3 linked regions of the Lytechinus pictus genome follow. The protein of the gene in region 3 purifies or fractionates together with the protein of the main gene of each other region. This does not show direct contact. Links are inferred from orthologs where the notes say so. Each region holds a gene or a part of one and is shown on either strand. Other genes may lie near its edges.

Region 1 (7,588 bases), on a different chromosome or scaffold from region 3:
TGATTTCTAGACAATTTGGTGTGTTCTCCTTTGTTTACAAAGGACATTTTGCAAATTTCCTGTAGAAAAATTATGACACAGATGGATTTCCATAGTTATGATTGATTGGATCAATCGTAAATCTTTGTAAGACGTGGCCCTGGCCTGATTATCACATGTACCATGGGTTTGGCCTGGTGATCTTACAGAGCACAAGCATTACAAGGAATCGATTCCGGCCAGGTACACATTTACCTCACCTGGGTTGAGTGCTACACAATGTAGAACAATGTCTTGCCGAAGGAAACTACGCCATGGCTGAGATTTGAACCCAGGACCCTCTGTTTCAGAGTCTGGAAACTAATCCACTGGGTCAACATGCTCCAATTGCTTGACTCTGTTCTTTATATAATTGCTGATTATGCCAAATAACTATTAATTTCAAGCATGGTGTCATGGCCGATGTTGGCATTGCCATAATCACTTCACAAACGCTTTGTATGCATAGAATCTTTTGTCATAAGCCCTACATTGACATAACACCCTTTGTCGAAAATTGGTGAATCAAAATAGCAGTGTCCTCCTGGACTCTTGACAAACGATATTCATGTATCTCCAACTTTTCGTCTGCTCCAAATCTTTGGACGATCTGCTTTCCCGATCCACCAACTTTCAACAAAAACTTCTCTGCTCTTCATAGTGACTTTATACTTGCATTTTTGAAAGAAATTAGTGCGTCATAGCACGCGTCTGTGTAGTGGGTGCAAAAAATTCTGACACCAACATCTGATTTCTCACACCATACTTCAAATCCCCCAAAACATCACTGTGAAACTCACTTTGGATTTATCCGCCTCAGCCTATCGCCTTGTACTATTTCATTGTAGGTGGCATCATAGCCTGTATATTCTATGACAAAAAACTGCAAGAGGAAACAAAATAAAGATTCCATTATTTCATATGCTTCATTTATCCCCCAAAAATCAAAACATTTGTAAATGGAGAATATTGCTGCATGAAAATTTAGATTACAATTACAATGTGTTAAATCGTTTAATGGACAAGTCCACCCCAACAAAAAGTGGATTTGAATAGATAGAGATAAATCCAATAAGCATTCGATCAGTCTTTGTTATTATTACTTATCTTTTTGATTGTCACATTTAAAATATATTCATTTACATACATATCTTTCCATATGAAGATGCTAAGTTATTACTCACTTATGAATAAAATGCAGAAACTCCTAAGAAGAAAGAAATATGCCATGAAATATGAAAGTAACTATATATCTTTCTTACCTCCCCTTTCACCATTTGTATTTTGGCTCTCCACCATCCGCAAGGTTCACCTTCAAATGACCTTGAATACACCTGAATAAAAAAAGAAGTTTTTATTTATTTATTCATTCATTTATTTCTTCTTTATTAGGGTGGCTCACTCGGTAATTTGAATACTGTTGTCCTTGGAGGCTCTTAAACAAAAATTGTGAATTCAATAGTGATTATGATATCACAAGAATGTACTCTTTTGTAGAAACTCAGGTCTTATTAATCCAAGGCAACTCTTTTGTAGAAACTCAGGTCTTATAAATCCAAAGCCACCAGGCCATGGCCTTGGGTGCCTTATTGGTTGGCCTCGATTCCCTGCTCAATGCGAGAAACAATTTTCTTAGTATGGCATTATTTGCAATACGCTCCATATTTTGTTATAAATGCTACACAAATATTCATTAGTGCAAAAATGTTTCACATAGGACTGTAAAGAACATCGTTGAAAGCATTCCTCTTCCAACCAAAAATGCTAATCAAAGTTGAAAAGTAAAATTATTCCCTCCATTGGATATGCTGAACATTATATATTAATGTGCTTTCTAGATAATAATAATAATAATAAAGGTATATTTACCCAGGGTAGCCACTTCAGTTCCGAAAACTTTTCTCCCAGCGGGCCCTGCTATTATTACCTGGCTAAGCTAGGCTACCTATTCGGTGCACACAGCTTTTCGAGGAATTACTTCCTGCCGGTACCCATTTACCTCACCTGGGTCGAGTGCAGCACACTGTGGATGAATTCCTTGCTGAAGGAAATTACGCCACGGCTGGGATTTGAACCCACAACCCTGTTTCAAAGTCCGGAGACTAATCCACTTGGCCACGACGCTCCACTCAGGATATGTGGCCTTGCCCAAAACTATCAAAGGGGGGGGGGGGTGTCTGCTTATAATGCAGATTTTTCACATGGTCTTTCCGTATCCTAAAAACAAAGGATTAATGTCAGGTGATTCCTACCTCGACCTCATCATCAGCCTTAAGTTCTAGCACTTCTCTTGATGCTTCTGGTGGAAGACGAACAACATTGATAGGAACTCTTCTCTCTGCTGTCCAACTAAAAACAATGACAAAACAAACAAATATTATGGAATGATTGTATGGAAAACATTTATTCATTATAGAATCCAATCTAATGGCTATTGAAAACTCAAACCTCCATCTAAATTGGTATATGATTGTGTACATGTAGGACCTCAAGAATGATTCATTGCTGATTTTAGTCTAAGTTTAAAATACATGTACATTTAGAACAAACTACATGAAGAGAAAGAACTCACAAAATCTTTCTAGATAATGATGACAATTATTATGAAAATAGCTCAATGATGATGGAGATGATGATGATGAAGATGATAATGATTACATGTACATGTATGATGGTGATAACACAGATGATCTGATGGCGTTCATGATGACGCTGATCTGATGAAGATGACGTTCATTATGACGTTCAGGATGATGACGATGGTGATGATGATGATGGTGATGATGAAGATGATGGTAATGATGATGTTGATAATCATAATGGTAATGATGGTGATGATGGTATAGACAACAATGATGGTGGTGGTGATGATGATGATGAAAATGACAATTTTTATGATGAAAATTATGTAAATTTATGTCACACTTGGTAGAGAGATTTAAAGAAAATGCATTTAAAAATAGAGCTCAACTTACTTGTTTTCAAATGCTATGCTCACTTCGTCTTCAAGTATATTTTTTAGCACTGCCTGTGGATTATACAAGAAAAACATTTGATGAATTTTCTTACACATTTGAGGAAAAATATTTTATATCAAAATATATATTTTATATATAAAAAATAAGGGTGAAATTGATGGATAGTCAAGGTGTAATGAAGGATAATGGAACAAATATACAACTAAAAAAAAAAGATATACAGAACTGTACGGTACATGAAAGATAATACTGTACAACGCAAAATTTTATTAACTCAAAGTAGTGCGAATATTAAGATTTCAAGTGAAATCTTATCCCTCCCTTTTCAATCTACCGTAATTGTAACTTAGACGAGACTCTGAATATACCCAACTTACCAAAAAGGGGTGAAAATGAAATAGAAAGAGAGTATAACATAGCCCTAAAACAATAGCACTACTTAAGTTACATGTACATGTAGATCTACATGTAATTTTTAAATTGCAAGATTACATGTAGATTTAATAGGGATACATGTACATTATAGGCTTGCTTAAAACAAAGACATCAAAAAGAATGCTCCAGCCTCATTACTGGCTAAATCATCATGCCATAAAAATTATATCATGAATAAATTACACCTGTCTAGTGTTGGCAAATTGAACAAAAGAAAAGCAATTATTGTCTGAGCTACCTTGCATTGTGCGAAGTTCACACCCATTATGTACATTATGTATGTACATTGCAGAGTGTGGGAATTCCTGACTGGGGGAATCCCCACTTCCTATGTACATTACACTGCAACATGATTGATGTACGGGAATGCAAATGAAGGAGAGGCAGTATAAACTAGGATTTCTTGCAAAATTACTCAGGAAGCTCAAGTGTTATGGTCTCAATGTTGCGCCATCCCAGTCTGCATGCCCTTGGCTTGTATCTAATTTCCTATTGCAAAAATTGCTTTATCTATGTCACTGAAGTACAGTGTGTAATACAGTACTGGGGAGCGTTTCATGAAAGGACTTGTAGTTGTCAGACGTTTTATCCGACAAGTACTGTTTTATCTGACAGTTACTATGGTAACAGTGCATCTCCACCAATCATAATCAAGGAAAAGTTGTCAGACCTGACAATTTTTGTCAGACAAAAATGTTGATGAAATGCTCCCCTGTACATGCACTCTTTCATAAAAAAAAAATCAAATGCACTGAAGTAAAACAGATACATGTAGTACTACATATGAAGGGCAAATACAATGTATGTACTGTACATGTTTTTTACTCTACATAACAGAGACAATGACATAATTTCATCTTCAGACATTCCAATGCAGTCTGGCGGTTCCTATTTCTGGATGCATTGCATGAGTCTTGAGGCATCCCCCTACAATCCCATCTGACAAAGATGGATCCACCGAGCCGAGGGGGTGAATTCTTTGTGATCGTCCATCATCTCTCAATGGGAATTGCGGAATGGAATCGGACCGACGATGAAAGGACAAAATGACCTCATGATCATAGGAAATCTCATCGTCGACCCTGTTCCAATTGGAGAGAAAGAGTGATGGACCCTGCATGTGAAAGTGCTATACAGGAGAGTTGATAGAAATATTTTGCCCACGGTGACACTCCAAACCAAGAACAGAGTCAAAAGCACAGATCTACAGAACAAAGTCCCGTTTGATAAAGACTTGTTCAATACCAAATGCACAATTTCTATAACAAATTCAATATCAGCTACATGTATTAGAGGAAAGGATTTTAATTCGTAGCTTATAACTGTTATTGTATTAACATTTGTAAATGATCACAAAATTCGATTTTGAGATAATTACAACTGGAGCTAATACTTGTACTATCCACCTACATGTATCCCCCTTGATCTATCCCTAATTCTCTCTCCTTCCGTCCTCTTCAAGCTCCCAATGCTATTCCCAAGTGGGAGAAATGTCAAAATGCTGGAGGAATGGAATTCTTTTCTTGAGAGTCAAGTACTATTGATGGACAGCTCATGTTGAGTCTGTCGGGTAAACACAATCCTTCACTTCTCTGATGATATCAAATAAAGGGCAAGTCCACCTCAACAAAAAGTTGATTTTGAAAATAAAAAGATAAAAATCCAACAAGCAAAGTACACTGAAAATTTCATCAAAATCGGATGTAAAATAAGAAAGTTATGACAATTTAAAGTTTCGCATAATTTCACAAAACGGTTTACATGTATGCACATCCTGGTCGGTATGCAAATGAGGAGACTGATGACATCATCCACTCACTAATTCTTTTGTATTTTATTGTATGAAATGTGAAATATTCCCATTTTCTCCTCATTGTCAAGTGAAACAACAAATAATTCCTCTCTGAAAATGTAGAATTTGCATTGTCTAATATATGGTTCAGTAAAGTTAGTCCTTATTGTCAAATCTGTAAAAAGAGATATATTGTGTAATTCAAACAATAAAAAACAACAGAAATAGTGAGTGAGGGACGTAATCGACTGTCTCATTTGCATGTCACTGAGTTGTGCAAATCACTGTTTTGTGAAAAATAAGTGAAACTTTAAAATGTCATAACTCTCTTACTTTACATCCGATTTTGATGAAATTTCAGCATTATGCTAGTTTGATTTTTCTCCATTTATTCAAATCAACATTTTTCTGGGGTGAACTTGACCTTTAACTATTAAGAGGACGGTTTATTTAATTTGTCTAATGCCAATTTGTCTAATTACCAACTCGTCTACTATCATTTGGTCTATCACCAATTTGTCCACTATCCACATGGTCTAATTGCCATTTCGTCACCTCACTATTTCATCTAATAACCAGTTGGCCCAATAGCCATTAATAGTCCACAATCCATTTGGTTTAATTGGAAAAATGTTAATTGGGCAAAACCAAGACGAACTGGTGATTAGACGAAGTGATGATTGGACCAAATGGATATTGGACCAATTGATTGTTAGACGAAATGTTGATGGACGGAATGGCTTGAGTGGACGAGTTTGCAGTGGATGAATTGGCAATTTACCTGGAAAAAATTACTTGGGGGCTCAGGGTGAATTTGCACCCAAAAAGCCTTGGAAGGGGGGGGGGGCATTTCCTAAGCAAATTAGCCCAGAGCCCCAATAATTGTTTCCCTTTCTACAGTTTTTTTAACATATCTGCAAGATGATTGCAATACACTATCCAAATATGTACAGTGAAGAGGATCCATGTTTGTCTCTTTTTGGCTGCGATGTGCTTGAACATAACGTACCCTGAGTGAGCGCCATGTCCTCGGCATTTACTCTTTCTTATCAGAGACTCTATCAGCTTCAAGACAACGATGGGGAAACCAATTTAAAAGAAGCATAAAATACTCAATGAACTGTATGCATGATGACTGAGCCTCAGACCATTATGCTATTAATCCTCTCAAAATTTATAAATTACGCATCTAGAGAATATGAAGAATAGACATAGTTGCAGACATCACGTACCCCAGGTTCGACCCCTCTAGTAAATTCTTTTTGTCAAAAAAAGAAACGATTGTTTGTCTTCATTCTTTTAAAGGTTAAAAGCCAGATTTCTAAAGAAAATATTTTGTTGCTCTTCTTTTGCATCTTCTGCAATAAAACTCACTGTAATGTGCTAGATTATATACACATGTATTTGAGTAATGAACTACATGTATGTCTGGTAATGTACATCATCAATACACTATGTTTTGTGCAGCAATAATCTTCTGTAATGTGTACATATACTACACATACATGTATGATATCTTCTGCAATGAACTACCAACATGTATCTGATGATTTTTTGCATGGTCAGCCCCCCACTTTCAAAACCGTTCCGCAGCCCCTGTTCTATACATGTACATCTTCTGTGAATATCTACAGTTAATAAATACCTACATTGTACATGAATCTTGTACTTTCTTCTGACATATCTTTCATGTAAAAATGCATGCAAGTTTGTTGCATATTGTTGAAAAACACTATGTATACATAATACATAATACATAAAGCATATTGATGTTGATACTGTGCACAACGTTGCCAGAACTGGCATAATTATGCTTTCTGGCATAATTTCGACCCTTTCAGCATAATTCATTATGCTGGTATAATTTTTGCATAATTAGACTTTTTTAAGCAAAGAATCTGGCATAATAATAGCATATTTAGCATAATTTTGATCGATTTTTTCCCCCCAAGTGTTGTTTTTCATTTTTCACATTCTACTAATGAACGGCGCCAGCACCGACAGAAGTGGGGGAAATCGTTCACATGCATGCATCCACTCCTAAAATTTAGGTTGATAACCTTTTTTTTTTTTTGCTTGTCAAAAAAAAAACGGTTTGGCATAATTTTTCGCGATTTAGCATAATTTCGCTGCTCCTCTGGCATAATTGGATTTTTTCACTGGCCACGCTGACTGTGCAAGAGCATGTGGTGTAGAAGTGCATACAGTAGTATGACATCTGCATCTAAATAGAGCTACATGTATGCTGTATTGCATTTGTACTGTCATCTTTTCAGCATGCAGTCATAGCCAAGCCAAGTCGACAGGCTTGTTGATAAACATGAGCATGTGTAGTACACAACACATGCAGTGTCACTGCATGGCA
Region 2 (7,023 bases), on a different chromosome or scaffold from region 3:
ACATGGACTCGAATGCGAGTTTTTCGGTGAGTACCATTTCAATTATACTAAAATCAAGCTAAGTATAATTTCAAAATGTTACAGTAGAAGTTTAAACGAGTATGATTATTGAAATATGATTGAAAAGCCGTTGCATGGCTCGGTCGACGACGCGACTGCAAGACACGTGGCACTGCCAGTTGTGTGCACATAGTAGGAACATATACAATGCATATGTTGGCGGTCGATCCGGCCGCGTTCAGCGATTTGCGAAACTGCTTACAAGCGAGAGTTGAGCGCGACGGACGCACGAACCAAGAGATCGTTCTACGTCGTAGATAGCGTCGTACGACGCTGGGCGAAAACGCGCTATTAAACGTTAAGGCCTGGGATGATGGGAATGCCTGTCTGCCACTGGATTTGTCATGATTCAACCAAGATAAAATAATGGAAACTGAATCTGCACATCCTGCATGTGCCATGTAGCAAAGTCAACAGCTCCTGTACACATTTACGATTTCACCCCACCATGGATCAACATTGGACAATGATCGGCAAGGGATGTCAAATTAAATGTTTGAAACAGAATTTCTAAGCAACAGAACATTTTCTATCACAATCATTTTGCACAAAAGTTCTAGAACGATTGAAGGCGATACCATCTTCCGAATGTCTGGGCTGTATCCTAATCATTGATCAAAACATCAAATCTGATCGCTAAAGCTGCAGTCGGTAGCAAAAAAAAATCCTTGGTTGATTAAAGGGGAAGGTCACCATGACAAAAAGTTTATTTTAAAAATAGCAGAAAAATAATCAAAAATATTGGTGATGGTTTGAGGAAAATGCTTCAAAGATCTAAAAAGTTATTAGAATTTGTTTTTTCTTATTTGTGACCACTCACACGTATTGCGAGGTTAGTATACTAACCTCGCACCATGAACCGCGTTTGGCAGTGAATTTCGAACTAGTGGGTCGCGCGTGCTGCGATCCCACTTCTGGTGTCCACAACACAAGACTTCTATGGCTTGATTTTTCTGTGCACGGCGGCATGTAATGAACCCTTGAGTGATTTGTGACAAACGCGAGCAGCTTCCTATGTATCGTGATTTTAAAATCAGTGAAATGTCATTTGCTCAAAAAGTTGAAAATGGGTTTTATTGTATAACGTGTCGCATTGCCAATGGAGGATCTCCATAGCATTAGTGATCGCAATATTCAAATGCTCATAACTTTCTTATTATTTGTCCGACTTTTCTCAAACTTTCTTTGATATTATTCTTTGATTTTTCTGTTTCCACAAAAGCCAACTTGTTCCAAAGGTTTCATTCCCCTTTGATAAATTAGAATTTATGTATGTACATGAATGGCCTGGGCAGCTGCTGGTAGAATCCTACAGTAGAGGCGCACGGCCAATATGGGAGACTCTCTCCAATAGGGGAGACAATCTCCCACATTGGAGACTTGCTTTGCAAAAGGACAAAAGAAACAACACCAACAAAAGTATGATTTTTTCCACCAAAAATTTTGTCTCACTGAGGTCAGAAGCCCATTTGTTTTGTGTGTGATTGACAACAAAATTCCTTATCAAAATAAAACTTAAAAGTAGACGGTGAATTTTTAAAGTAGATGGTGAAAAGGGGTAATTTTTCATGAGGAATCTGCTTATCACATTTTTATTTGCCGCCAAGGTAATCCTTTTGCAGCAAATGTAAACAAAGGAAATTGGACTCCAAAACTGGAGACTGTCTCTGAAATTGGATACCCAAATTCTTTACAAAAGTCTCTGATATTGGAGATAATCTCCCACATTGGAGACAGTCTCCAATATTGGCCGTGCGCCTCTACTCTCCTATGACGTCATGAATCAAAATCTTTAAATTCAAGTAAATTTCAATCTTTAGATCTAATGGATTTTCCTCAAAGTCGAACCTTCTTCCCTTCATCAATATTTTTTTTGGGGTATTTTTACATCAAACTTTTCATCAGGCTTGGGGTGAACTTCACCTTAACTCTTCAACAAGACTTTTTCTGTGTTGAGAATATAATTTGAAATAATCAACATCAGTCCAATGTTAGGTGTGTATATTTACCCCCCCCCCTCTTTATAACATTATAAAAGCCATCTTGTCTTCAAGACCCCACCCCCCCCCCCCCCAAAAAAAAAAAAAAATTGTCTGACCTGAGAAGCCTCTTTCTGCCCGGCCTGGCAGTTACTTCCAGTGGCACTGACAAAGTGAGATTCAGTCAAGTAGATTTCTATTAGTATTAGTTCTAGGTCTAAACTCTAATTTCAAAGGTTATTTATCATGTTTATCTAGAAATTACAGGAAATCATTATGAGTTATAAAGCAGTTAGAATTCTGAACTTGATAATAATATTGATGATAAAGATTAAAGGCCAGGACCATGACATGGCAATGACATTGTCATTGCACCGCAGTGACAAATGCAAATGCAGCAGGCATCATGCAACGGTGCCCTGCACCGTACGTCGCGGCTACAGTCCCGTGATCCACAGTGCCATGTCCCACTCACTCTCACGTGAAGTCATTTCATTCATTGTATGGAAGATGTAAATTGGGCCAGAAAAAATGAATTAAAGCAAATCATGACTACAAACAGGAAAGGAATATATATTAGCATATCATACACCTTTTAATACCAGAGGTTAATAATCATACATCATTTTAAGTATTAAATTGCACCTTTGGAAAGATCAGGAAGGAAATCATTCGACATAAAATTCGACGCACATCATGCAACACCGGCACAATCATGAAAACGTGCATTTCACACCATAACAATGGTAAAATAAAACAAAATCACCAAACTCACCTTGCACAAGTAGAATAATTTCCTGTCCCTCGTGAAACCCTATTTTTTCATCGGTATTTGGAATTATGCTGCTTCCTTACAATCAAAAACCGAAAAAAATATTAAAATGGGGCTCATGAAATTCGGGCAATATTGTTGCACATGTATTCACAGTGCGCAAACTGAACTGATTTCACAGTTTCTCTGCGCACAATTTCCCTGAGAGTCAGGCGGGAAACCCGACAGACCCTGCGCGATCTCATAATGGGCCATGCAAGAGCACAAATCGGAGTTGGAATGATTTCCACACCATATACAAAGACCCAAGTTAAAAATGACGTAATTTCCTGAAAAAGTGAGGCGTAGTAAATAAACAAAGAAGATCAAGTAAGAAGTAAACAATGGATAGGAAATTGATAATTCGTGACTTAATTACATTGTCACCGGTACAACTTTTACCCCAACAACTAGATAAATATGCAGCAAGCTGAAAAAGTGGAAATCCATGTCGAATTTCAACAAAATCGAAATCGGATTCTGAGAGGCTTTTAAGTGACCCCAACCCACCCTTTTTTCTTTGGTGGTAATTTCTTCGTATACTTCTTTATGGAATCTAAGGCTTGATCAACGTTCCTCTTGGTAATTGGTGGTAATTGCCCTGGTGGTAATGGGGGCAAATAGGCAGGGGCTAGTGTACGTAGGCCTAGTACGCAGATCATTATTTAGATGGAAAAGAAGAAGAAGAAGAAAGTAGAAGGGAAAAATTTATTCTTCTTCGATCCGTATTGTTATTATCATTATTGTTGTTGTTACTATGATTATTAAAATGATATAGCCTGGTGTTGTGCCTATTGTAATCATTCGTTGGGAGAGGGGCAAAGCAAATTTCCCGGCCCCCTCAAAATTCGAAAAGCAGGGGGTCGATCCCGGCCCTATATAAAAACCAAAATTTAATTCACAAAATCGCCGAACATATACCCTCTCGCTAGGGAAGTTTTTAAAGGACAAGTCCACCCCATCAAAAAGTTGATTTGAATAAAAAGAGAAAAATCCAACAAGCATAACGCTGAAAATTTCATCAAAATCGGATGTATTATATGAAAGTTATGACATTTTTAAGTTTCGGTCAATTTCACAAAACAGTTATATGCACATACCGGTTGGTATGCAAATGAGGGAACTGATGACAGTGATCACTCACTCACTATTTCTTTTGTATTTTATTATATGAATTATTCTAATTTTCTCCCCATTGTCCTGTGAAACAAAGTTTATTTCTCCCTGAACATGTGGAATTAACCATAATATTTCATGGTTCAGTCAAGTTGCTCCTTATTGTCAAATCTATAAAAATTTAAATATTGTAGGCCCTATAATTCAAACAATAAAAAAATAGAAATAGTGAGTGAGAGACATCATCGATTCTCCCATTTGCAAGTGACTAAATTGTGCATATAACTATTTTGTGGAAAATAAGCGAAACCGTTCAAAAATGTCATGAACTTTCTTATTTTACATCCGATAAATTTTCAGCATAGTGCTTGTCTGATTGTTCTCTATTGATTCAAATCAACGTTTTTTTTTCAGGTGGACTTGACCTTTATTATGTAGTCGGTGGCTACACGGGACAGCAGCTGGAGGGCTAGATTTTTTTTTATCCCGGCGGTATGGCGACTGATCAGTTGATTTTGACGATTGATCACAATTAATACACAATAATCTATGTATTTAAAGAGCTTCAAACTGATGAATAATGTATTCAATTACAGAAATCAGCCATAAGGTCGATATAAGCTATATTGTAACCGGTTGTGTCTATATGCAGTGCGTATCAAAAAAAGGTTTACACTTAGAAAAAATCCTGTAAAATTATACAAATTTTGTAATATCCTGAAGATTTTTCCACAATTTAACTTTGGTACGGATCCATTTAAGCAAATGACGATAAAATTATGACTGTCGAAAAATATTTCCGCTTGAGTGAGCATTACTTACTTTTGAAAAGTTAGTGAAAAATGATTTGCGCAGAACTTTGAAATAGTTATGCGAATAAAAGTAGACCTTAATCATGAATAACACGTGGAATTTAGCTAGTAATATTTTGAAGATATCTTTTACCTTTTTTTAACTTGTTTCCTTGCCCAAACCACTTTGAGGAGTGCATTGCGCCCACTAGCGTACCTAAGGGGGGGGGGGGGGGAGGGGCAGACTACCCCCCTGACCGACGAGTCACAACTCATGCAAAGGACGTATCCCTGCCCCCCCTGACGAGTCAAAACTGATCCCTGACGAGCCACAAGTGGCCCCCTCCTTTGAACTTGAAGACCTTTTTTTTTTTGCTTGTCAAATTTTTTTCTGGTGCGAAATGTCCTTTACTTGTGGTTGAAGACCTTTTTTTTTTTTTGCTTGTCAATTTATTTATGGTGCGAAATGTCCTTTACTTGTGGTTGAAGACCTTTCTTTTTTTTTTGCTTGTCAAATTTTTTGGCGGACGAATTTGCCCCCACCTTTGGAAAATCCTAGGTACGCCACTGATTGCGCTCCACCCCACCACACATCGAGGCCATTGTGACGATATTTGCTTTATACTTGATTTACATAAAATGGCTGAGGCTTGATTTTCATTTTGTTAATTATTTTCAAGCTTGGGAAAAGTGTGGAGAAACAAGTGTTAAATTTAAAAAAATATATAAACCCACTTTAAATGATAAAAACTTAGTAAAAAATGCTAGAGATGTCTGGTATAAACTTTTGTTCAGATCCAGTTATGTCCTCAGATCCAGCTGACACAAAAAGGGTAAAGGTTGTGTTTACTAAGTGTTGAAATATCAATTTGGGTGGCAAAATTGTTAGAAAATGTATACGTTTTATTTCAATTGACTAAAAGTGCAAGGGAAATGAATGAGAAATGTTTCGCAGGGTAAGTTTTGATTTCGCCCTTTCCCCTTGACACAGCGTACAAACGAGCATTTCTGCGCAAACAGATTTCTGCGAGCTTTACAAAAAAGGACAGTGCTCACTCAAGTGTAACATTCTGTCAAAACTTTTACTTTCATTGGATAAATGAGACCCAAACCCAAGATTATATGTGAAAAAAATTACCCACACGTTGTATATTTTCTAATTCCCAGGGCTTTTTCAAAGTGTAAACTGTTTTTTGATACGCACTGTAGAGGGGTATCCTTCCACTCATTATCCCGGCCCAAAATTTCCAGAGTTTCGGTACTAAAAAAAGTAATAAAAACGAGAAAAATTGTCAGTACTATACTGGTCGTACATTTATGCTCAAGTTGATTGTCATCTTGCCTCTACTTGCGCTTTTTATTGAGGGGAGGGGGTGGGGGGCTATAGCCCCAAATACTTTAAAAGAATATGAGAATGCTGCATGCAGCTCCACCTTTTTTTTAGCAGCTACCTCCATTCCCACCCTATTTTGTATGGAAATCTTGCCATTGTACGTAGAGAAATTTGCTTCATATACGAAACAAACAAAAAACACAGTCGTTGGAAATTGAAATAAAATTAATTCTAGCGGCTCCAAAAACAATAAGAAGGCCGACATAATTATGAGACACAACTATACTGACGTCGAATTCTTTTTTTTTTTTTTTTTGGGGGGGGGGTTGGCATGGGTGTCAGGCAGGGGGACACGCCTGAATGTATATATCGTTATTTATTTATTCATCTATCTATATATCAGTGGCGTAACAGGCGGGGGGGGGGGCAGGGGGGGCAAGCTGCCCCCTGGCGGATTTCACCGGGAAAATAAAAAAAAACGGGAAAAAGAGGAAAGGGAGGGAGAAAGAAAGGGAAAGGGAATAGGAAAGGGGAAAAGGAAAGGAGGAAAAGGAGAGGAAAAGGGAAAAGAAAACGCCAACAGAATAGGAAGGAAGGACAGCGGGAAAAGGAACGAAAGAAGAACATTTATTTTGAGGAAGGATAAATCATTCCGAAAATAATGCAATAGCGTGATGGGAAATAAATTAAAAGATGACAAAATGGCAAACAATAGCGGGAAATGAAGTTAGAATGGAATTAGTCAAAAGCTAAATTGGAAAACGAAGAAAAGGGACAAGAAAAATAAAACACTTAATAACACGACCTGGCTGCATGCCGATGATTGAAAATAAAGAGCGGGAAGAAAGTTGGACTGCATACAACATTGTGCAATAAGCTTGCTAAATTTTATTCAAATAAGATATCGGGGCTTTGCCCCGAACCCACGCAGTA
Region 3 (7,790 bases):
GATGAGGTATGCTGGTAATCGGCCGGTGCGAAACTGCATTAGCGCCCCATTGAGCCCCTGTAGTCTGTACAGACGAAGGTTTAACTTCGGTCAATGTATTTGGTGAGTGGAGCCAACGTAGTCCAGCGGAACAACCAACATAACAGAGACCGAAGCTTTTTTTGGTCTAGACTGGCACTTGCCTAACCAAACCAGGGAGCTCCCCTGAGCCCAGGGGCTTACCGTGTAATTCACCATACCCACGGTAGTAGCGTGAAGTATGGTCTAAATAATTTTAAGAATAAATAGTTAAAACAGAAATTAAGCACTTACCACGATTATACGGATGAAGGTCTAACGAGTGGCAGCTTCCTGACATCGAGGCACAGACTGGAACCTCAAAAAACGAAAAGTTCTGTCGCGGTAGCTCTCCTTCTTTCAGAATTCATAGCAAAATGGCCGTTCGAGACCGGTACCGAGGGTGTAGGGCGCATGCACGAATTTGACAAAGTCTATATGCGCTAGTGCTATATAGCCTCGGTCTCGATCGGCCATTTTGTTTTGAATTCTGAAAGAAGGAGAGCTACCGCGACGGAACTTTTCGTTTTTTGAGGTTCCCGTCTGTGCCTCGATGTCAGGAAGCTGCCACTCGTTAGACCTTCATCCATATAATCGTGGTAAGTGCTTAATTTCTGTTTTAACTATTTATTCTTAAAATTATTTAGACCATACTTCATGCTACTACCGTGGGTATGGTGAATTACACGGTAAGCCCCTGGGCTCCGGCCCGCGCAGCGGGCCGGAGCCCCCTGGGTTAGCACTTGCCATGCCCACACGTCCCATGGCCAAGAGTTGACATTTTGTCATTTGCTTACATTACAATACGGTCATTACTACTATAGACTAGGGGCCTGTTGCACGACGAGATGAGCGATACCTAGGAACGTCCTAGGACCATTCTTCCGAGATAGGAAGATTGGCGACAAATCAGCGCTTTCCAAATCACGAAGGCAATTTTATCTTTCAAGTCCGCGACATCGTTTGATATCGATAGTATCGGAAAAATATTTAGTCTTCATCGTCACCTGAACCTTTTATTTCGGAATGACGATTTTTCATAAAATCATATTTTTCAATAAAAGGGGGTCAAATAATGTTTTATCTAATACTGATTGTAGAATTGATGTATGGAGCGTACTTTATGAGGTAAAAAGAGAAAAAACTTTCAAGATTCACAAACATAACTTGATAAAATCGAAATTTTCATTATTTCCCTTATTTAGAACACAGTGTCCTTTTAGAGACACCTTTCATTGATATTTCAACGAAGAGACCTTTTCCGACATAAAAATTGATTTAACTAAGTAATTTCGACATTCTATTAGTTCAATATACTGATTTTTTATAGAATACATATATATAATGATGATTTTGCAAATTATCCGTTAATATGTTATCTGTTGAGGTAAAAATAGGGTTTGAATGAAGTAAACAAAATCAACAGTGTCTGATTGTATGAGACTAAAGAGGAAAATATGAGAGGCTGCCTGTGTAAAATCTAATTTATTTATTTTATTTGTCAGATATAACGCAAGAAATACAAATGTGAGTGTTTAGAGTATAAACATACCTCAGTTGCATGATAAGTAACCGAAGACAAGGAAAATATGAAAATTGCTGCAAACATGTCCAAGTGGATAAAGTAGTGCTTTGCAATAACAATTAAAACATAGAAAAGGTGTGCAATCCGCAATGGAAAAAATACTATTTACAGAAATAATGCTAAATATTACAATGATCATAAACGTTGGTCATCTTTAAAGTTGATCACTTAATTTATGGAAGCTTATATAAGAATATAAAAAATATATATGTTCAACATTTCAAAGTTGAGGAGTATAGAGACTACATTATTGCTTTAACATTAGGCCTACATAGGGGCCGAAAGGGGCCTACCCTACGATTTAAAATGCGCCTCTTCGTATGGACTTCCCATAATCTTTTCTTTAATGAACTAGCTTATCTTCATTTGTAATAATTGTGATGGATTCGTAAGCTATAGGCCTAATCTGTATCTTAGATTCAATTAGCTATTTTGTTACTGCAGATTTTTTGTTTTGTTTCACTGTTTCAGATCTCAAGTTAGCCCAAATCCCACAATTAATTTTCATTGATTAAAATTAATCTCAGCAAAAAAAATAATTATAATGAAAATGAAATAAAAGTAAATGAATGATTTACCATGTTTAACATTTTAGTTTTGTATCGTGTTTTTTTTTTTGCTGAACGTTATAAACACTTTTTTTACCACATAATTTCTTTTAAAGAAATTTGTTTTCATGTTGTTTATTCAATTATCTACACTTGAGAAAGCATGAGGGGTCAGAGATAGTGCCGCCCATTTTGTTATTTAAAAAAAAATTAATGGAAATGGTATGGGGATAGGACGGAGAATAAAAGAAAAAAAATAAAAAAAAAATATTTGGGCCTACATTAGGCCCGGACATAATGCCCGGAGGAGTTAAAATGACATCTGTTTTTGGTCGTCTTACCGTGCAAAAAGACGACCTGAAATTGATGACAAATAGCCCCCATATAAAAAATAACTTGGTGCCATCCCAGATAAAATGCATCAGTGTGCAACCCAAAAAAATGTTTGAAGGTGATATGTCTGCGTAGCTTGCCGTAAACGCATTTTCTCTCAATGCCGACGGTGGCGGGCGGTGTGCAAAGAAGATCATGCCTACGTAGGACATGTCTGGAGGTGTCTTTCCAAGGACCATTCTTCGTATCGCTTTGTGAAACAGTAGTTGAGCGATATCTCGTTCTTAGTCTTACGTAGAAATTAGAATGGTTCTAACTTCTACTAGTCTACAAAAGACCCTTCAAGTTTCATGCAACAGGCCCCTGCCCCTGGCCTATTCATAATTCTGGCATGTCTAGACTCTAGTGGGGAAATTTGCCCGAAATCAGCCGGTGCAAAAAAGTATTAGTCTATATAACCCAAACAATTCTTACACTCAACGAGACTCTAAATTACATCAATTCGCGAACCTCAACGTCAACCCAATCAACACCAGTCAACATGCATGCACGACTCGCATCCTCACGGAACCAATTCCATTCGTGTACGTGTACATGTACGTTTCGCATACACGCATTCACCATGCACGCTCTACACACACAGAATGAACAATAACAATGTGATAAAAAATGTCGCGTGCAAGACAAAAATTAAATCCGATTCCCTCAATTAAACATTGAAAATTTATTTTATCAATGGCAAAAATTAGTGCTTTAATTATTTCTCCATAAGGATAGCTATTTCTATTATTCATAAACACTTTTTAAAAAGTACTTTTCAATAAATTATCTCGCAATACTTACTAAGTTTACGTTACCTTTCTCACAAAATTGAGATCCGATGGTTCACAAAGCCGGAGTCACGTGACTAAGGGCAAAAATATTTCGCGGCGACCAGACAAGTACTTCCGGGAAAATCTAATGTATGAGTAGGGGGAGGGGGAACAAAATTCAGCCGACTTTATCATTTGAATACAAATTACAATGTATTTCAAATGAAGTACCGGTTACTATTTAAGTTTTGTATATATCTTATTTTATATAATGCAATAATGTACACTTTATCTTTTGTGACTCTATAATCATTTGATAATGATCTTTGAGAATGAAGGTTTATACCCTCTCTTATAATCGAATAAACTTAAATTGGGACATTTAACTTTCAATCGGGCTAGCTGTACACAGGGCTGCAGTACATGCAGTAGGCTAGCTAGTATACGCTATATATATATTGTAAGCCTATAGTGAATAATAATATAGTCAGCTGTGTTACGTCTTACGATCTTGAACTTGTACAAGCCTAAGGTATGTACAGTAAGTTTAATCATCCCACATTTCCCTAGGGGCCTAATAATAAGTTTTACTCACTTGCATTCATGATAGTTTACTAGAATTTTATTAGATTTTAGACCCCATCATTCTTTATTATCATGACATCATTGCCATCAGGCATCATCATCATCATTCATCATCATCGACATCATCATCATTCATCATCGACATCATTCATCATCATTATCATCATTATCTTCTTTATCATCATCATCATCATATTAGAAATTAGGAATTAAGCCTGAGCGGGTTTAAAAGATAAAAGATTCAGAACGATATAATTATAAAGTATATTTATCACTGTGTTTCATTTCAGATACGCTTTGTTACACTATTATGAGTATTATGCTATAGCCTGCCCTGAGAAGACTTGATTATGGAAGGATCTGAACTCATTAATAGACCATTCTTGGACCTGCATGGAGCTAATGAACTCCTTACCAAGCTTTATAATATCCAAGCTTCAAACCTAGAAGAACTGAAAAGTTTTACAGACCAAAATTTCTACATCGGATTAGAAAGTCCCATCGATATAGACTGTGGCAGTGGGGATGAGAAATGTGATCAGTTCATTCTAAAGGTATTTCAAGGAACCGCTTTTTCTTTCAAAAACCCATTTTAATATGTCTTACATAACATACATACATGGAATTATTAATGCTAATTTTATCACGAACTATCACAATTTACCCCTATATTTTGTTTGTTTCCTTTCATGTTAACTGTACATGTATTCTCTGAACTTCTATCACAGGAAAAAAAGTCTTGACATTCCTAAAGTATAAGATAATTTCTCATAACACAAGTAAAAAGCTTAGTTGTCATTTAAATCACTTCATCTTTTGATTATTAAAGTATCTTCTTGATACTTTTTAAAAATTGTATGCCTAAGTGTACTCCTTCATTTCATCAAAACAAACTTACCTACATGTAGCATGGAATAGAATGCCAAAGATCTTTAAACTATGATTATTATTTTAAAGGCCAACAGTTGATGCTTAATATTGCTTGGTTGACAAATCCAAGTTATACTATAAATGTACCAACTCATTTCCTTAAATAGTTGTACAACTCCAAAGATTCTGCAGATGGAAACAGGGTGGAGTTGGCGGTCAACACCATGGCATTCCTGTCCAATAAAGAGTTTTGCTGCCCTCGCCCAGTCCGTAATATATATGGCAAACTTGTTCATCTTGAGGCTATCTCTTGTAATGACGGAAATGGAAAGGGTAAGATGATTCTATTCAATTTTACACTGGACGTAGACCGATAAATATGTCTATTTCTGTCAGGGATATGCTCCGCTGAGACTTGGTCTGTCTCTGCGGTATCCCCTCCATCAATAGACCGATAATGGCCATTGGGCTCGTAATGGCAGAGGTTTGACCGACGCTTAACTACAGCGTCTCTGGAGAAAAGGTTGCCAGCGCACCCTCTTCGATTACTCCGTAATTCCCCCTTTTGACAGAGAAAACAAAGCGTTTGAATAAAAATTATTATTTTAACTAAACAATCAGCATACCAGTTTCTTGAAATGTATGATTTGATATCCAAAAATTAAATTCCAAAGAGCCGCTGTACGGTTCCAATGATCGATAGTTGCTTTTACAGCTTGCAGCATACGAATATGCCAGCCAATCATGTTCATGTTACCATTTTCAGTTTATGATGAACTTAAAATGGTAACATGAATATGATTGGCTGGTGCATTCTGGTAGTCTGTTCGAAAATGTTAAAGGTTTTTGTTCAACTTGCTCTCATTTCAATATTTTTGCATCACCTTTATCAAAGGTATAAGTATCCAATAGGATTTGAATAAAAATGTTAGAGCAACCTATTCTAAAACAATATGCCTGTCAAAGCAAAGATCATTTGCCAATCTTTGTCTAAGCCTCAACTTAATTACTGCCATTGTAACAAGTACTACAAACCTTCTATTGATTGTACATGACTTTGGTATTATATATGATGCCTAAATTTAGATCTGCTTGGATATTTTCAGGTTTTGTTGGAAAACATGGTGTGTATATGGTAACTCTTTTGTCATTCTTGCCTGGTCAACCTCTTGGGTCATTGAACACTCTTCCAGATGAGATCTTGGTAGATATTGGCAAAAAACTTGCTCACCTGCACAAGATTTTAGAGGTATAGTGGAATTATCAAATATCAATGAACTTTAAGCGCATCATGTACGTTCATATTAAAGTTACCTTGGATATCTGCTAATATTGTCAAAGCTCTCAAAGCCTTTTTTATTGATATTTTTTAATTATAAAAAGCTATCATCGTATATTTACAATAAACGGCACCCCAAACACCATCTGACCATGAAATATTGATACAATGTGATAATGTAATTAATCAAACTTTCATTACTTGTAATGATAATGTTGCTGTAATTTGGGCATTCTAACCTATGTATGATGTTGTTTATCCCTACATATCTCAATTATCTTGGGTGAATTTAAGTAGTTTGCTGAAAAAAATAATTATGATAAAATGATTTTTAAATGCAAATGAAGTAAATAGTCAAGAGGAAAATAATTGGATAATAAACAGAAATAAGTGGGTATGGAACCTCCTAATATCATTTATGTTTCTCCACTTTTTTCTAAATGCTAAATGAACACACTTTAGTTATAACCTGATATTCGTTTTGTATTATTTTCAATCAGGCGTCCCTTGATGGTTTTTGTAATGAAGATCGAAACCTTCAAAGGTTGGTAAAGGTACTACTAAACCATTCCATGTTATTGATTTCTTTCTTGAACTATAACTGTAGATCTATCTATCTATCTATCTACCTTTCTATCTATCTATCCATCCATCCATCCATCTACCTACCTTTCTATCTACCTTTCTATCTATCTACCTTCCGATCCATCCATCCATCCATGTTGTATTTTGTATTTATCCAGTCACTTATCTATAATTCATTTATATTCATATTATATACATACATGTATGTGTGTTCAATTATTTATTCATAATTCGTTAATTTTTAGTTTTTTATTTATTAATATTATTGATATGCAAATTCATGGAAAATGACAGCATAACTTAGAAAGTATATGGACCTAGTTCATGAAACTTGGCCATAAGGTTAATCAAGTATTAGTGAACATCCTGCCTGAGTTTCATGTCAAGGTCAAAGGTCATTTAGGGTCAATGAACTTAGACCATTTTGGGGGAATCAACATCAAAATCTTAACCTAAGGTTAAGTTTTTGAAATGTCATCATTATAACTTAGAAAATATATGTACCTAGTTCATGAAACTTAGACATAAGATTAATCAAGTATTACTAAACATCCTGCATGAGTTTCACGTCACATGACCATGGTCAAAGGTCATTTAGGGTCAATGAACTTTGGCCAAATTTGGGGTATTTGTTGAATTACCATCATAACTTTGAAGGTATATTGGTCTAGTTCATAAAACTTGGACATAAGAGTAATCAAGTATCACTGAACATCCTGTGCGCATTTCAGGTCACATGACCAAGGTCAAAGGTCAATAAACTTTGGCCATAATGGGGGAATCTGTTGAATTACCATCATAACTTTGAAAGTTTATGGATCTGACTCATGAAACTTGGACATAAGAGTAATCAAGTATCACTGAACATCCTGTGCGAGTTTCAGGTCACATGATCCAGGTCACATGATCAAGGTCATGTAAGGTCAATGAACTTTGGCCATGTTGGTTTTTTGTTGTTGAATTACCATCATATCTCTGTAAGTGTATTGGTCTAGATCATAAAACGTGGACATAAGAGTAACCAAGTATCACTGAACATCTTGTGCGAGTTTCAGGTCACATTACCAAGGTCAAAGGTCAATGGATATTGGCCATGTTGGGGGTATTTGTTGAATTACCATCATAACTCTGTAAGT

The links.
Region 1: the proteins of ubiquitin-associated protein 2-like (region 3) and RNA-binding protein FXR1-like purify together in Drosophila melanogaster (affinity purification with western blotting; 3 studies listed by BioGRID, with this or other methods). This does not show direct contact. The link is inferred for Lytechinus pictus from reciprocal best matches to the Drosophila melanogaster genes lig and Fmr1.
Region 2: the proteins of ubiquitin-associated protein 2-like (region 3) and ras GTPase-activating protein-binding protein 2-like purify together in Drosophila melanogaster (affinity purification with western blotting; 3 studies listed by BioGRID, with this or other methods). This does not show direct contact. The link is inferred for Lytechinus pictus from reciprocal best matches to the Drosophila melanogaster genes lig and rin.

The regions. Positions count from the first base shown.
Region 1 is NC_087260.1:10,215,084-10,222,671, reverse strand, and holds the start of RNA-binding protein FXR1-like, read right to left. Parts: upstream 3,079-7,588; 5' UTR 3,071-3,078; coding exon 2,994-3,070; intron 2,368-2,993; coding exon 2,271-2,367; intron 1,353-2,270; coding exon 1,281-1,352; intron 902-1,280; coding exon 819-901; intron 1-818. UniProt on the Drosophila melanogaster protein: Polyribosome-associated RNA-binding protein that plays a role in neuronal development and synaptic plasticity through the regulation of protein synthesis of mRNAs.
Region 2 is NC_087262.1:16,239,888-16,246,910, forward strand, and holds the start of ras GTPase-activating protein-binding protein 2-like, read right to left. Parts: upstream 3,093-7,023; 5' UTR 2,815-3,092; intron 2,765-2,814; exon of another isoform or gene 2,685-2,764; intron 1-2,684.
Region 3 is NW_026974140.1:6,702,714-6,710,503, forward strand, and holds the start of ubiquitin-associated protein 2-like, read right to left. Parts: upstream 3,082-7,790; 5' UTR 3,067-3,081; coding exon 3,034-3,066; exon of another isoform or gene 2,998-3,033; intron 1-2,997. Other genes in the region: hydroxylysine kinase-like, read left to right, coding at 4,271-4,474, 4,958-5,123, 5,897-6,039, 6,570-6,623. UniProt on the Drosophila melanogaster protein: Acts in the nervous system to mediate the control of copulatory organs during courtship.